Macaca mulatta: one gene and its partner. The protein of the gene in region 1 binds, or shares a complex with, the protein of each later gene. Links are inferred from orthologs where the notes say so. Each region holds a gene or a part of one and is shown on either strand. Other genes may lie near its edges.

Region 1 (8,404 bases):
ATCCAACCATGACACGACCAATACCCAAATGTTCTTGGTTATAAAATGAAAATGAAAACAAAAGGTAAACTTATTCCTGACAAAACAGATTAACTGAAATAACCAAGGTATTACTTAATAACCAAATTTTTGACACACATAACGTTTTAAACAACCAAAGAATATAGGCAAAATTGTTCTTTTGCCACACACACACAAATTTAGTTCTATAAAGATAAAAAAGATTACTTTTCTCTAAAAACATTGAAAAGTCTGCCTTCTCTCATTAAAAAAGCATAAACAGAAAACATGAGTTCAGGATTTTAAGTTACCTTTCAAGTCTTTCTTCAGTTTTCTGAGATCTTTTTGAAAATCTTCAAACTTCATCTGTGAGGCCTGGAAAAGGTCCTGGGGTTCTGGCAGTGGAAAGAGGCACTGTTCTTTTCCAGCATCCTAATGAACAAAAAACCCCATTATAGTCAAAGAAATTGGTTATCAACATAAAAAAGAATAATGGCAGGTATCTCCAAACCAAAAACAACAACAAAAAGTACTGCCAAATCATCCAACAAATAAAGAATAATGGAATGTGACGAGATGTAAAAATTGTCTTACCTCATCAAAATTTCGGAGATAATACGAAACAATATATGACAAAAGGCTTCTGCTATTGTCCTAGGCAGAAAGACCAAAGTCAGTGACAACGTATTTTTTAACTAATTAAATATAAAGTGTTACCAAAAAAGATTCTAGTAAATTCATATATATACATGAGAACATTTGGAATGTAATGTGAAATTTTACATTTTGAATTGTCTTGGCCATTGTGTCTAAGGAGTTTGATGGCTTAAAAGATTTTTCTCCCCAGTGTTCCAATCTTAGCATAGCTATTTAGGGGCAAAGTCTAAACTGTAAATACTTTCCAATTGTTACCCCCCTCAATTAGAAATTTAGCTCATGTCTTGTATATTTTATTATTTTGTGTTTTTATTGTTTTGTTTGATAATTTTTTGTTTTAAAACTACTATCTTAAAGGAAATAATTAAACATTGCTAGCATTGATATATAGCTGAACAAATAGGTACCACTCCAACAGTAACTTTGATTGAGGCTCATTAGCATATAGATTAGGGAAATAAAAAAGCTAAGTATCATTTTAAGTAAAGGGGAGCTTTTAACAATTCCAATATTAAGTAAAGGGGAGCTTTTAACAATTCCAATATTATAATTTGTTATGTCAGCAATTGGGATTTGACAAATTAATACTCATGTGTTTATAAATAAGACAATGTGGGTAGTTCTATTTAAAAAAAGGTAAAATTGTTTCATATCTAACACATTTCAAAAATACCTTTTCACCTCCTTTCTGGTTTATTTAGGGGCATTAATTTTTATTTAGCTTTTTTTGTGTATTCTTCCAAAGTAGTAGTAGATAATCTGAATTTGAGAGCTCAGGTATATATTTTACTTTAAAAACAAACCCTATGATACAAACTACATTCTCTGGAATGTTTAATATAACCACGATTTTTTCTATATTTGTAAAAAGAGCAAAACCTCTTTATAATCAAGTTTGACATGAGTCAGTAATATAGCTATTAAAGACACCCCTCATTAGACAGGATTTGCTTGTAACATGATTTAAGCAACTTGAGTTCCCTTCTCTCTCCCAACTTGTAATTCAGTGAAATGGCTGGCAGCACCTGAATCAATTAACAAAACTTGGTGTGCTAAGAGAAAATTCTAAGTGATCAAAGTAACAGCTCTGTCCATGGAGGTCTATAAACAGTACTAAGGAATAAGTATAGTTACATTTGTTTTACAGAGAAAGAACCAATTCAGGAAGACTTTGCATAGCTCTTCTGAGTACAAGTGAAACTATTTTAAAAACTTATTTCTTGATTACATATTAAAATTTTTATTTTAGATTACCCCTTGATTATCTAAATTAATGACATTTAATCTAATAGAGGATTGAATACAATATATAAACTGATACCAAAAAAGTCCCACAAATAATCTCTTATTTGTATATGATCACTAGAATCTACTTCCAGTTCATTTCTATAATTTAAACATGATATTGATGCTATGTATTTCAATATTATTTGCAAAAGTTGTTTCACTCCAACAAGCAGTTGCTGAGTATTCAAGAATCACCATAGGTTAAGAAAAGGACTTCTTTTCTTTCTTTTTTTTTTTTTTTTTTTTTTTGAGAAGGGGTCTCACTGTATAACCCAGGTTGGCCTCGAAAAGTCCTCCCAAGTAGCTGGGATTATGGGCTCATGCTATTGCACTTGGCTTAAGCATTTTTTTTAAACAAATGTAATTTATCAGCTCTCTATAGTAAGACTTCTATGAAAATGTGTATCATACACATGAGCATTTGAACAAACAATTATAAAAATAAAAACATCATATGTGTGGGTGTACCAGGGAAGAACTACGAATTATTCAGTGTTGGAAAAGCAGTGTCCATGTTCCATAGATGCTCAATGAAAGAATGTTGAATGAATATCTGTATTAATTTGACCACACACACACACACACACACACACACACACACACACACAGACGCTGACTTACAATGGTTCATCTTACAATTTTTTGACTTTACAATGGTACAAAAGTGATACACATTCAGTAGAAACTATACTTTGAGTACCCATACAAGCATTCTGTTTGTCACTTGCAGCACAGTATTCAATAAATTACATGTGATATTCAGCACTTTATTATAAAATAGGCTTTGTGTTAGATGATTTGCCCAACTGTAGGCTGAGGTAAGTGTTCTGAGCATGTTTGAGGCAGGCTAGGCTAAGCTTTGATGCTTACTAGGTTAGATGTATTGAATGCCTTTTCACTTATGGTATTTTCAACTTAGGATGGGTTTATCAGGCCATAACTCCATTTTACATTGAGAATCATCTGTATATAAAATAATAAACAAATTGTTGGCTGGCAGAAAATATTTTTTTTTTTTTGAGATGGAGTCTCGCTCTGTCACCCAGGCTGGAGTGCAGTGGTGCGATCTCGGCTCACTGCAAGCTCTGCCTCCCGTGTTCATGCCATTGTCCTGCCTCAGTCTAAAAGTCTCTCTCTCTCCCATGAAGGAAATTATTTCATTATCTAGGAAGGACAATCCTACATATTTTTATTTCTACAAGCCAATTATTAAACTTAATATTTCAAAAACATGTCCAGAATTTCCTTTATCTTACTTTTTTGTGTGATGATTCTTTTATTAGAGAAATGTAACTCTTTTATTTTTTAAGTTTATCATCTCAGACTTCATTCTGTGACTCTAACCATCATTCCTAACCTCATATTTCTCCTGGCACTCTCACAATTGCTTAGATATTAATTTCAAACAAACACAACTGCAGAAGTAGTACCAAAAATAATTAGGTCTGCAAGAGGGCTTAGACATCCCCCGACGCACCAGTATCAAGGAGAAAATCATATGCAGCAGAGTAGAATCATCTTTTATATTTTATTTACAAGCCATTTTATTCATCTTTGTGTTATTTTCAAAATGTGGACCTATTGGCCTCCATTGCTTGACATGACAAAGAAAAAAACAAGAGATACACTGTCTAACTCATAGAAAATAATTAGCCTTCAGATTCCAAAAGGATAAATATTAGCAGACATGGGAAAGATACAGTAAAAGAAATTATTGTTTTTATATTAAAACAATATAAAAAGTTATTTTATATTGTTTTTATATTAAAAAGTTGTAATTATTAATTAGACATAAGAATAAAAATTATTCACTTTAGGAAACATTATTAATCACAAATATCTGATGGACATTACTTTTTTCTAGCTCAGAACATAAAGAAACATTTGGCCTAGGAACATAAAAGAAATATTTATTACAACTGCTTTACATTCAGACTTATTACTAAACAAAACATTGAATTCTCAATTTGCCTATGTCCACTCATGCAAAATACTTACACTGCTCTTGACATCTTTCAGTTTTGGAAGAATGTCTAATCCAAAGCCATCTGCCTGTCCTCGAGTCTTATTTCCTCCATTCATGTAGTTGCCAAAGGCAAGAACCAAACCTAGAACCTGCATAACCCCTGGGCCATTTTTTAACGTCTGTGAAACAGAACAACAACAAAAAACAACTTCTATACCAGGTTTTGTTTGAATCATCAAGTCAATGCCAGCTATTTATATTAGTAGTTTTGGGTCACAACCAAACTTTATCATTCCTAATTATTAGGTATATGTTAAGAGCAGTATCTTGAAAGTTAGTAAAAGCTGCACCACCCACAAACATTCAGGTATGCCTCTGTAAGCTGGGGGATGCTATGTTAGGCCATGTCTATGATGTAATCGCAAGGAAAACAAGGTTGTGTGAGAACTATTAAGGCTATATGGGAACTAAGGCTATATGAGAATAAGGATATATGAGAACTATTAAATAAGGCCAAATGAGAACCATTACAAAATAACATCACTAATATATCTGCCATTGTCTTAATTGTGCCTATGTCTGGAACAAAACAAATTTTTTGGCCTCAGCAGAGGAAACCAAAAAGCAGACGCAGAGATTAATTTCTAAATTTAGGTTTACCCCCAAAGAGCTCACACTCATTTCTTTCAAAACACTGTGTTTAACTTAAATTTGCATGTCACTTCTTCTGAAAATGTGAGCCTTTAAGAACATCTTTTCACTTTTCAAAATGATTTACCGCAACTAGAACAAATGGTACTACTGATATTTGACAAATTGTTTTAAATGTTAACATTGGTTGTTTCTGCCAAGCATTTATTTTTTGTTTTCAGAGGAATATCTGTCTTCTGTTGAGTCATATGGCTGTTCCTAAATTATTTGGCTGGAATAATTATTAACAATTTGTGGAGGAGTCCTTCCTGACAACGAAAGAAAGTAAAGAAAAATGCCTTCAAATCACATTCCTTTGGAAGTCTGATGTCTGAGAGGACCGTGAAAACTGAAGATTTTGTTTTGGCAAAAGGAGAGGACACAGAAGTCTCTGGAGGCCAACATGTACTGGCCACATTCTAGCAATGTGGTCTTGCAGCCCTGGGCACCCCTCGGAACATTTGCTTTGATCTTGAAGGTCAATCATAAAATGTTCCCTTCTGTGGGACTGTGATCCGTCAAATTTGGTGAGTACTTCGAGTAAATAAAAGAACGCTTTTCTGAAATATGAACATGACTGAGCACAATTAAATGAGATTCAAGTTCAGCTCTCTTTGGACCAGAACTTACCTCACACAATTTCTGTAGTAATTCCAGTTTGCGATGAATTGAGCAAATGCTTTCTGAAAACGTGGACTGGAACAGGATGCAAAAGACTCGCTCTGAAAAGTTGGGGATTAGTGACAGTTCATAAAGGAACCTAAGGAAATAAAGCCAAGTTAAGAAGAAAAATATAATTCACATCCACAGATGTTTATTCTCATCTCATTCATAACAAGTATGCACTGAAGACACTGCATTGCATTTTCCAAACAAAACGGGCCCACCCATGGCCTGGACGCCCTCTGCACGGCTATAAGGCATGCTTACTGCTCAGGTTTGTCCAGAGACTTGGCATTTTCCTTGTCTTTGGAAGACCGGCCATGCTTTTCTATTTTTTCCAGTTCGTCTGACTGTGCTCTCTAGAAAAACAAAAACCAAACAGTTTTTCAAAGTCTGGCCAACTGAATCCCTTAAATAATCTAATTATCTTGATAAATGTACTGATCTGAATACAGCAAAACTCTATCTGTTTTCATGTTTCTTAGCATCTGTTTGTAGTAAAGCTTGACTTAATTCATGAGGCATTTGAAAGTCTAAATATGGCCGGGTGCAGTGGCTCATGCCTGTAATCCCAGCACTTTGGGAGGCCAAGGGGGGTGGATCACCTGAGGTCAGGTGTTTGAGGACTGGCCTGGCCAATATGGTGAAACCCCATCTCTACTAAAAATACAAAAATTAGTGGGGCGTGGTGGCGGGTGCCTGTAATCCCAGCTACTTGAGAGGCTGAGGCAGGAGAATCGCCTGAACCTGGGAGGAGGAGGTTGCAGTGAGCTGAGATTGTACCACTGAACTCCAGCCTGGGTGACAGAGTGAGACTCCATCTCAAATAAATAAATAAATAAATAAATAAATAAATAAAATAAAACAAAGTAAAGTAAAATAAAATAAAATAAAGTGTAAATATGTTTAATGTGAGCCAGATTATCCCCAAATCTTCCAAATAATGTTATTAACTATTAGTGATCTGAATAGTTATGTTTATTCATAACTATTCAGAAATGTTTATTCATTCAAGCATGCTTTAAAACAATAGTTTTCCTTTGTTATTTTGGCTGTTTATAATACTTTCTAGAACACAAGCATTTCATTTTATAAAGTAGTCGCCCAGGTGGGAGTACAATGGCATGACATCTGCTCACTGCAACCTGCGCCTCCCGGGTTCAAGTGATTCTCCTGCCTCAGCCTCCTAAGTAGCTGGGATTACAGGCACCTGCCACTACATCCAGCTCATTTTTTGTATTTTTAGTAGAGACGAGGTTTCACCATGTTGGCCAGGCTAGTCTTGAACTCCTGACCTCAGGTGATCCACCCATCTCGGCCTCCCAAACTGCTGGGATTACAGGCATGAGTCACTGCACCTGGCCTGGATTTTCTTTTTGATACAAAAATGACTCCATGCTTATTTTCTTCTTAAGTGTCTTCTGTCACCCTTTATAATCTCAAACTAAAAATTTGTCATTCTAACTGTGTTTCCTTATGAGAGAAGATCCTGTACATTTTTAATATTAATATAGGGTAGGAGATTTTATAGACTTCAGGAAGCACAAATCTGTATTTTATAGAGTATTTGGATTATTTTTATTTGTAGTCCTGTCTTTATTTTACAACTCACAAAGGTGTATTAAAAGAGCCAAAATATCACATTTTCTACATGCATTAAGAATAGACCACCATATTATGATTTCTGAGTCCAGTCTTCAGAAGTTAATATTCTTTCAATATTATTTCTGTTTAAATAGACAAGCAGCTCAGCCAAGAACTGCTACAGAAGCTAGAGCCTGATAGATTTCAAGAGAATTGATAGATACCACCTAAACAAAGCGAGGTTCTGCTTTGTATTTACTGATTGTTTTGAAATGCAGGTTTTCAGTTGATAGGATTAACTAACAAAGACTTGTCTCAAAAGAAGCTTCTTTTAACGAGGGAAGAACTGATGAGAGATCTGCCAGAGAAGTTGATCCTCTGACAGTTTCATAAATTTTGCATTTGGAATGTGACGCATCAAAAGAATACAAAGAAGTAAAGGAGGTACATTTTACTGTAAATATTCTAAGCTACTCCAAAAATTAAAACTCTTCTAGAATTTCAATTGCACAGTAATCTTACTTTTCTCCCCAGTTATTTGTGGCTTTGCTCAAGAATTTTACTACTTGAGCAAATACTACTTCATTCATTTGTCAGTTACCTATGAGAGTCAGCCTCACAAATAATATCATAAGACCATGTAAAGCCATATTACAGGACAGACTAATACCGATCTTTCTGGCAAATGAGAGACTTGGGTAATATTCTAAAAGAACATTACAGCTAAAAATACAGAAAAGGCAAGAGTTGTTTTAAGACACACAAGTCCCCACCAAAGTATAACACATAAAGGTCTCCAATCCCTATAATCTCTTTATTCTTTTAAAGGAAAGAGTTTCTACCAGAGAGTTGGTTAGTCACCTACCTCCAAGCCCAACCCCTTTCTATATCCAAAACCTCATTAAAAAAATCCAGCTTGGATACAAGCTACAGTTTGCTTGTTTGCTACAGTTTGGTGACATAATTAGGTTTCTTAGTTTGATTTTGTTTAGACACCTTAATATAGACTCAATCTAGCTGTTGAATAGACTCAACGTGGGGTTGAATGACTAGAATCCTACTCCACGGACACAGTAAATTTCCCTGGGTCTTAAACAACACAAAAACAAATCAAAAGGCAGCTGTAAGAGCAAAAAGATGGCTAAGGTAAACCAGAGTAATAATTAAAGATACAAGAGAAGGATGAAATTCATCAATGTCTTCAGAACAAAGTGACTTTCTATTAGTACTCTAGAGGCACTCCCCAAACTATTCAGCACACATGAAGTACTAATTGCACAGTCCTTTATACCCTGTACTCTATTAGACCATTTCTGCTCACGTCAGAAAGAAATAAAGCTGCCCTGGGCTGACAGTAAACTTCATGGCGAGTCGAGGGAACTGTCACTTTATCTCTGCCCGTTTCTTGTTCCTTTCTTGTTCTCTACAACTATGTGTACATGATATGATCTCTTCTGCTCCCTTTTTCTCTCTGGGGCTTAGTTAACTCCACCTCAGTAATCTTTGGCCCTCTCACTCTCATATACACACATGCACACATATATACATACTTATGTG
Region 2 (8,404 bases), on another chromosome or scaffold:
AGAACAGAATCCAGTGGTGTGATCATAGCTCATTGCGGCCTCAAACTCCTGGGGCTCAAGCGATCCTCCTGCATCAGCCTCCTGAGGAGCCGGGACTACAGGCATGCACCACACACAGCTTGCTTTCTTATCAAGTGTTCACTGGAGTAGCACTTGTTAATTTCCTTCATTAACTTTCTCTTTGCATTCACAGCTTGGCTGTTTGGTGCAAGAGGCCTAGCTTTGGGCCCATCTCAGCTTTGAATGCCTGCCTCACTAAGCATAATCATTTCTAGCTTCAGATTTAAAATGAGAGACTCAACTCTTTCTTTCACTTAACACTTAGAAGCCACTGTACTGTTATTGGCCTCATTTCAATATTGTTTCTCAGGGAATGGGGAGTCCGAGGAGAGGGAGAGAGATGGGGGAACGGTCAGAACACACACAACATTTATCGATTAAGCTTGCCATCTTATATGGGCCCAGTTCATGGCTCCCCAAAACAATTACAATAGTGACATCAAAGACCACAGATCACCATAAAAGATATAGTAATAATGAAAAAGCTTGAAATGTTGTGAGAGTTACCCAAATGTGATGCAGAGACACAAAGTGTGCACAAGCTGTTGGAAAAACGCTGCCGACTGACTTGCCTGCTGCAGGGCTGCCACAACCTGTAAAAATGCAGCACCTGTGAAGCGCCACCAAGCCACACATGATGGGGTGGGACACGCCTGGGCGTGGCTGGGGAAATAGTCACCCTTGTGGGTGTATAGCTCTTCAGATGTTTTGCACTAGAATGCAGGCATAAAGTCCCTTAATGTAATTTTTATTTCCAAACAACAATAATTTAAAAATCAGTTGGAGAGTGTCAGCAGGTGCTTCTAGGTTCTGTGCGGTGAGCCCCCAGGTCCTGGTGCGTAGGGCTCTGGATGTCTCTTTACACGGGATAGAAACACGGTCACGTGGGAATGCCAACATGACTTACTGCTTATTGTGCGGGCTTTTCTGCTTTATCAATTATGCCTCCAGGAAGCTGTCAAAGAAAGCTTCATCCATCTCCCACAGGATTTGTCTCCATATTTGTGATACATAATAAAATGTTATGTACTCTTTACATACTCTCCTAACTCATGGCTGCTTGTCACTTGTGGTGGCTTGTCACTGTGGTGGTTAATTTTTCCAGTGCGGTCCTTGTAGACTGTATTTCTTTTTTTTTTTTTGAGGGGTAATCTTGCTCTGTCGCCCAGGCTGGAGTACAGTGGCACAATCTCAGCTCACTGCAACCTCCACCTGCCGGGTTCAAGCAATTCTCATGCCTTAGCCTCCCCAGTAGCCAGGATTACAGGAGCACACCACCATGCCCGGCTAATTTCTGTATTTTTAGTAGAGATGGGGTTTCACTATGTAGGCCACCATGTACAAAAATACAAAAATTAGCTGGGTGTGATGGCAGGCACCTGTAATCCCAGCTACTCGGGAGGCTGAGGCACGAGAATCACTTGAACTCCTGAACTCAGATGATCCGTCTGCCTCGGCCTCCCAAAGTGCTGGGATTACTGAGCTACCACGCCCGGCCTAGACTGTGTTTCTTCACAGGTTGCTGATAAAAGTACCCTGCATTCCCAATCGAGATGATTTCTGACAGTTAGTTAACAAAAGACATCACCGTCTTACGATAGGAACTCAACACAGAACGTATGATGGAAAGCCATTTTATTTTTCCCTAAATTTTAAAATAGAAGACTTTAATGGAAAACATTTAGTACCATCATGTCACCCTGAATGCCAGCAATACCTCGACTTTTACACACGCAGGAGGCCTAGTAAAAGCCCCGTCAGTAGTACACATTTCTCTGCAGTCCTTTAGCAGTTTTGCATGTACGAAATTTTCTGCTATATTGCTTTAGCAAACAGCAACAAGTTTTGTGTTTCCTATATGATGCCTAAAATCCAGTCCTATATTAATATAGTTAGAAAAATAAAAGGCTTAAAAATTTCAGAGTATGAGTTCATGGTGCTAATAACAGAATCTCTTTAGACATAAGATCATTTTAAGCCTCCTACATAACCACCTTCTGGTTTCATTTGAAATACTTAAGAATTAAAATCTAGTAAGATTGTTAAATCAATGTACATGTTGATCATTTCTTTTCACTTGCCTTGGGAGAGTTAATTCCCACTGTCCACTGAATGAATGTCTTTCAAATATTAATAAGTATATTACAATATTTACAAGCATTCTTATACATTCCGACACTGACAGGGAGTTAAGCCATGGAGAGGGAAGCACAGGTTTCCCAATAGTGTGACTTTATGACGTACGGGATAAAAGGAACCGGTGCTCAGGCCTGGAGGGAGCTGAGAGGAGAGCAGGGATGATGGTTCAGAAATGCACACATGCTCTGAGACCAGCCAGACATCTATTTTGTTGTTGGATTAGAAGTAAAAGCTGAACAAGAAACCAGGACAAGGAAGGAAGAACTGGAAGCTATGCCTAAAGTCAGATTAGGCTAAGGATTTTAAAACCAAGCTCCACAAGCTCTTAGTGAATTACCCTATGGAAATTATCTAGCTTAGGTGAAGTGTTGAGGGGAGTGGTACAAAGGGGGGTTAAATGTAAGACTTTGTTTTGGCAACAAAAAATGATAGTAATTTGATTTCTACAACTTTCTGCCATGTGCCCTTTCTTACGCCAGTTTCTGCAGATTGTTTCATATGAACGTACCCTCCCCGTGACCTCTTTAATGCACTTGGCAAACTCCGTTAATGCTGTTGAAGAATGGATGTTCTATGCTGTGGTAAGAGGTGATCGTAATGCCCAAATCATCCCATACAGTATCATAAAGTGAAGTGAAAGACATTTACTAGATGTTTGCTTTGTGAATGTGAATGAAAGTCTTATTTTGGGGGTGTAGTTTCTTATGTTTTAATAAAAACAGTAGTCATTATTTTAAAAAGCACATTCTCCTAGGTGCATATTTATATACATATACAAATACCACTTCCTCCCCCTTGTGCCCTTCTGGGTAGTCATTTTAAAAACTCAAGCCTGGGGTCATCAAAGGGGGTAGATTTCTACTCCCACCTAACTGTCTGGAGTCTAGAGTTCAGATAGGCTCTTAGGAAGTTTTATAAATGAGATTCGCCCAGTACAATTCTTAAAGCTCTTAAACAGGAGTCTTTAAAATAATTTAAACACTTAAATTAAGTAATCAATAAGGGTTCTCTGGTGGCCCACTTTTACATGCAAATACAGACCAACTGTTAACATGCATTATTTTAGTCAACTGGTAAAGTTTATTTCATAAGTATAAGTAATTTTAAGCCATTTACTAAACTGTAAATTTCAACCCATTAAAAACTACCACCGGAGCAGTTTTGAGGTATTGCTGTTAATTTAGTAGAGAAATGTTACTGTATTTGACGTGGTATGAAATGCAGCCGCCATGCCTTTCATGACACGGTGCTGTCATGGTGCTGACTACAGACATGTCCTATGGCTTTCCGGAAATTACTGTGCATGTGCATTAACAGATTTTCCAAACTTTAATGGCAATTTGGTTGGTTGGTCATTTGTAAGCATACCAGAATAATAAAGTATAGCCCATGGTATGAGTCAAACACACTGAGACGTTTGAGGCATACAGTGCTACCCTCCAGTCTACTTTTGTCAGAAACCCAACCTACTCACTCAAACCATTTACAAGGAAAACTAGTGCAGAAAGCACCCAAAAATGTTGCCTGTCGGCAGGTTAATTTTCTTCTAACTTTAAAAGAAGTAGATATTTTTTCTTTTAAAATTCATTTATAAAAATAAATTTCAGTTTTTGAGACCCTAGGTACCAAATTGTGGCTTAATTTACTCAAGATGGACGTACTATAAAGTGATGAAAAATGTAGCTGAAAACGCATGAGCTCCAGCTCATTTCTGCAGCGCGGCCAACAGCTGCCACTGTACGCGGTCACAACCCTTCTCATAGGTAACCAAAATATGCGCAACTTCTTGACAAACTTTTAGCCTTCCTTTGTCCTGAAACTCCCACAAAACTTCAATTCTTAGACCTCCATTATAAAACTATTAGTAACCATAATACATTCAAGATAGAGAATGAAGACCTGTCATCCACTCAGGAGACACTGATCCAGGGCACTGGGACAACACGGCCACTCAGGGGAAATAGTCACCCTTGTGGGTGTACAGCTCTTCAGATGTTTTGCACTAGAATGCAGGCATAAAGTCCCTTATGTAATTTTCATCTCCAAGCAACAATAATTTAAAAATCAGTTGGAGAGTGTCAGCAGGTGCTTCTAGGTTCTGTGCGGCGAGCCCCCAGGTCCTGGTGCGTAGGGCTCTGGATCTCTCTGTACACGGGAGAGAAACACGGTCACGTGGAAATGCCAATATGACTTACTGCTTAGGGCTGTGCTGACATCGGCGTCTCTGCTAGACTGATTCTCACAGGAGAAGCTTTTGATTTTTTTGCCTTAGTCAGGAGATTATTCGAGGAACAGTAAAGAACTGAACTAAGGAAGTAGTTACTGGCTCCCGAAGCCACACAGACACAAAAGTAAGTTTCAAACTGTTGTCCTCTCTCAGTGCAAACGAGCAATTGGCGGACCTGTCACGTTTCATCAATTGATATGAACACAGCATTCAGTCTGTGGAACAATGTGATGCAGCAAAAATCTGATCTAATGCAAATTCAAGCCCATTAAATAAAACCACAGAAAGGAGTGCCAGCCCGGCTCAGTGTTCTCGCGCACGGACGCTGACTCTAAGCACAAAAGCAGCTGAAAGGCACGAGGCTCAGATCTCACTGATCGTCCTCTCCGAAGGGCAGTACTCCGAGGGGCCTGGTGGGGACATGTAGAAAGACTGCGTTTTCCTTTTCAATCGGGCCCGTTTGTTGGCCAACACCAGACTGCGCCGGCTTGAACTGATGATTTCCGAAATGAACTTCTTGCAGTCCACACACACCTCCATGGTGCTCCAGTCCTCCATCAACTCTTTGGGAAACTGGAGTTCTTCATCTGATTTGTCCATAGACTTAGATTTTGAGGAGAACCTGGGGTAAAAACAACAGAAAACCAAACAGAAGCCCAGCATCGTTACTTATAGGTCTACTGCAGTAAGAAGAAAGTCTGTGAAATAAAGAGTAAATTTGTTGTCAAAACATCATGGAATGGATGAGTGATTTAATCATATGTCCTTCTAAAAAAATTTCTTATTGGAGACAAGGCTAAAAAATATTACTTAGAAAAGAAAGTAGGAGGCCAGGTGCGGTGGCTCACGCCTGTAATCCCAGCACTTTGGGAGGCCGAGGCAGGCGGATCACCTGAGGTCAGGAGTTTGAGGCCAGCCTGGCTAACACGGCGAAACCCAGTCTCTACTAAAAAAAGAAAAAAATTAGCTGGGCATGGTGGCAGGCCCCGTAATCCCCACTATTCGGGAGGCTGAGGCAGGAGAATTGCTTGAACCTGGGAGGTGGAGGTTGTAGTGAGCTGAGATGGCACCGCTGCACTCCAGCCAGGGTGACAAAAGCGAAACTGTCTCAAAAAAAAAAAGAAAAAAAAAGACAGAAAAATGAAAGAAAGCAGGAAACATGTCTTATAAGATAGGCGCTGCCCAGGCCGGGCACGGTGGCTTATTCCTGTAATTCCAGCACTTTGGGAGGCCCAGGCAGGCGGATCACGAGGTCAGGAGATGGAGACCATCCTGGCTAACGTGGTGAAACCCCGTCTCTACTAAATATACAAAAAACAATTTGCGAGGTGAGGTGGTGGACGCCTGTAGTCTCAGCTACACAGGAGGCTGAGGCAGGAGTATGGCGTGAACCCAGGAGGCGGGGCTTGCAGTCAGCCGAGATAGCGCCATTGCACTCCAGCCTGGGCGACAGAGCGAGACTCCGCATCACAAAAAAAAAAAAAAAAAAAAAAAAAGGCGCTGCCCAGACTATCGAACAATACAGTCAGGATGGCTAAAGGTGACCCCAAGAAACCAAAGGGCAAGATGTCTGCTTATGCCTTCTTTGTGCAGATGTGCAGAGAACATAAGAAAAGCCCAGAGGGCTCTGTCAATTTTGCAGAATTTTCCAAGTGCTCTGAAAGGTGGAAGACAATGTCTGGGAAAGAGAAGTCTAAATTTGATGAAATGGCAAAGGTGGATAAAGTACAGTACCATTGAGAAATGAAGGATTATGGACCAGCTAAGGGTGGCAAGAAGAAGGATCCTAATGCCCTGAGAAGGCCACCATCTGGATTCTTCCTGCTCTGTTCAGAATTCCACCCCAAGATCAAATTCATAAACTCTGGCATCTCTATTGGAGACGTGGCAAAAAAGCTGGGTGAGGTGTGGAATAACTTAAATGACAGTGAAAAGGAGCCTTATACCACTGAGGCGGCAAAGCTGAAGGAAAAGTGTGAGAAGGATGTTTCTGACTATAATTCGAAAGGAAAGTTTGATGGAGAAAAGGGTCCTGCTAAAGTTGCCCAGAAAAGGGTGGAAGAGGAAGATGAAGATGAAGAAGATGAAAAGGAAGAAGGAGAGGAGGAGGAGGAAGATGAATAAAGAAACTGTTTATCTGAAAAAACAAAACAAAACAAAACTAAAAACTCTTTTGTTTTTTTTTTTCCTGAGACGGAGTTTCGCTCTTGTTGCCCAGGCTGGAGTGCAATGGCGTGATCTCGGCTCACTGTAACCTCTGCCTCCCAGGTTCAAGCGATTCTCCTGCCTCAGCCTCCCAAGTAGCTGGGATTACAGGCATGTGCCACCACACCCGGCTAATTTTGTTTTTTTTTTTTTTTTTTTTGAGACGGAGTCTGGCTCTGTTGCCCAGGCTGGAGTGCAGTGGCCGGATCTCAGCTCACTGCAAGCACCGCCTCCCGGGTTCACACCATTCTCCTGCCTCAGCCTCCCGAGTAGCTGGGAGTACAGGCGCCCGCCACCTCGCCCGGCTAATTTTTTTTGTATTTTAGTAGAGACGGGGTTTCACCATCACCCAGGATGGTCTCGATCTCCTGACCTCGTGATCCGCCCGTCTCGGCCTCCCAAAGTGCTGGGATTACAGGCTTGAGCCACCGCGCCCGGCCTAATTTTGTATTTTTAGTAGAGACGGGGTTTCTCCACGTTGGTCAGGCTGGTCTCAAACTCCCGACCTCAGGTAATCCGCCCACCTCGGCCTCCCAAAGTGCTGGGATTACAGGCGTGAGCCACCACGCCTGGCCAAAAAAACTAAAAACTCTTAACCACCCTTCTAGAATTCTTGGAAAATAGGGTATTCACCTGATTCCCAGTGAACATTAGCTAACCGTAGATGGCAGATCAGACAATAGGAAATTTAAATAAATTTATCTTAATCCCATGACACATCCTAAAAAACTATCTTTTGACCAGTTTTCTCATCATTTATGTATTTATCAAACAAGCCTCTCCCTCCCCAACAATTCCCTGTATTTGGGCAATTATTTATTGGGATTCCAAGGAGATGGAGTTAACCAGACCAACATCATAATAAATGTTTCCAGGAATGTCTGAGATAACCAGGAATTGTCTACTTATTTACTTTTTTTTTTTTTTTTTTGAGACGGAGTCTCGCTCTGTCACCCAGGCTGGAGTGCAGTGGCGCCATCTCGGCTCACTGCAAGCTCCGCCTCCCGGGTTCACGCCATTCTTCTGCCTCAGCCTCCCGAGTAGCTGGGACCACAGGCGCCCGCCACCTCGCCCGGCTAATTTTTTGTATTTTTAGTAGAGATGGGGTTTCACCATGTTGGCCAGGATAGTCTCAATCTCCTGACCTCGTGATCCGCCCGCCTTGGCCTCCCAAAGTGCTGGGATTACAGGAGTGAGCCACCGCGCCCAGCCTTATTTACTATTTTAACTAAACCAAACAGGATATAAACAGGTAGTCTATAGTAGGTTCAGAGTAAGTGTGGAAAACAGCAGCTGTTATGTGCACTGCCTTGAGTTCACTGACAGTTCACACCCAGAGGTCTCAGAGGAGGGAGCCCAAGCACAGAGGCAGACGTTTCAGGCACAAGGTTCATGCTGGCCTCACAGCTTCCTCGCCTCACTGTCCACAGAGCCATGACACGTGGTTGGTGCATCAAAGCCCAGCCTCTCGGCCCTGCCAGCTTGAGGCTCGAGCTGGCCTACCTCCTTCCATCTTTCTTAAGGCCCAACACTAAACCTACCCTGCACTAAACGCAAAGGGACTGATACTCAGGTGATGTTTTTTCTTTTAAATTATCAGCTTTTGGCATAAAGCTTTATTTCTGCCTTTAGAATAATAGTAAAGTCAGTCAAAGCTATGGCAGAATATTGTAAACAGGATTTAAACAGATTCCTTTCAAAACTAGACAAGGAGGAAAGAAGGATAAGACTATTACATTCCAATTTCCAACTCCATTGAAACAAGGTCAGTTT

Evidence for each region.
Region 2: the proteins of FMN2 (region 1) and SPIRE1 are in contact, whole or in part, in a crystal structure (PDB 2YLE), measured with the Homo sapiens proteins. The link is inferred for Macaca mulatta from reciprocal best matches to the Homo sapiens genes FMN2 and SPIRE1. Residues at the interface, in NP_064450.3 of Homo sapiens: Ser1702, Leu1703, Lys1705, Ile1706, Lys1707, Pro1708, Arg1709, His1710, Gly1713, Ile1714, Lys1715, Lys1717, Ile1718, Lys1721, Thr1722; in NP_001122098.1 of Homo sapiens: Gln51, Pro52, Ile53, Asn54, Glu127, Ile131, Tyr134, Lys135, Asp138, Leu141, Lys142, Glu143, Asn144, Glu145, Glu146, Arg147, Glu148, Glu154, Ile157, Asp158, Ala161, Asn162, Thr163, Val164, Glu165.

Annotation. Positions count from the first base shown.
Region 1 is NC_133406.1:8,762,300-8,770,703, forward strand, and holds part of FMN2 (formin-2), read right to left. Parts: intron 5,623-8,404; coding exon 5,531-5,622; intron 5,361-5,530; coding exon 5,231-5,360; intron 4,090-5,230; coding exon 3,943-4,089; intron 655-3,942; coding exon 595-654; intron 433-594; coding exon 312-432; intron 1-311. UniProt on the Homo sapiens protein: Actin-binding protein that is involved in actin cytoskeleton assembly and reorganization. Acts as an actin nucleation factor and promotes assembly of actin filaments together with SPIRE1 and SPIRE2.
Region 2 is NC_133423.1:83,139,445-83,147,848, forward strand, and holds the end of SPIRE1 (protein spire homolog 1), read right to left. Parts: intron 6,697-8,404; exon of another isoform or gene 5,936-6,696; intron 5,049-5,935; coding exon 4,790-5,048; 3' UTR 1,679-4,789; downstream 1-1,678.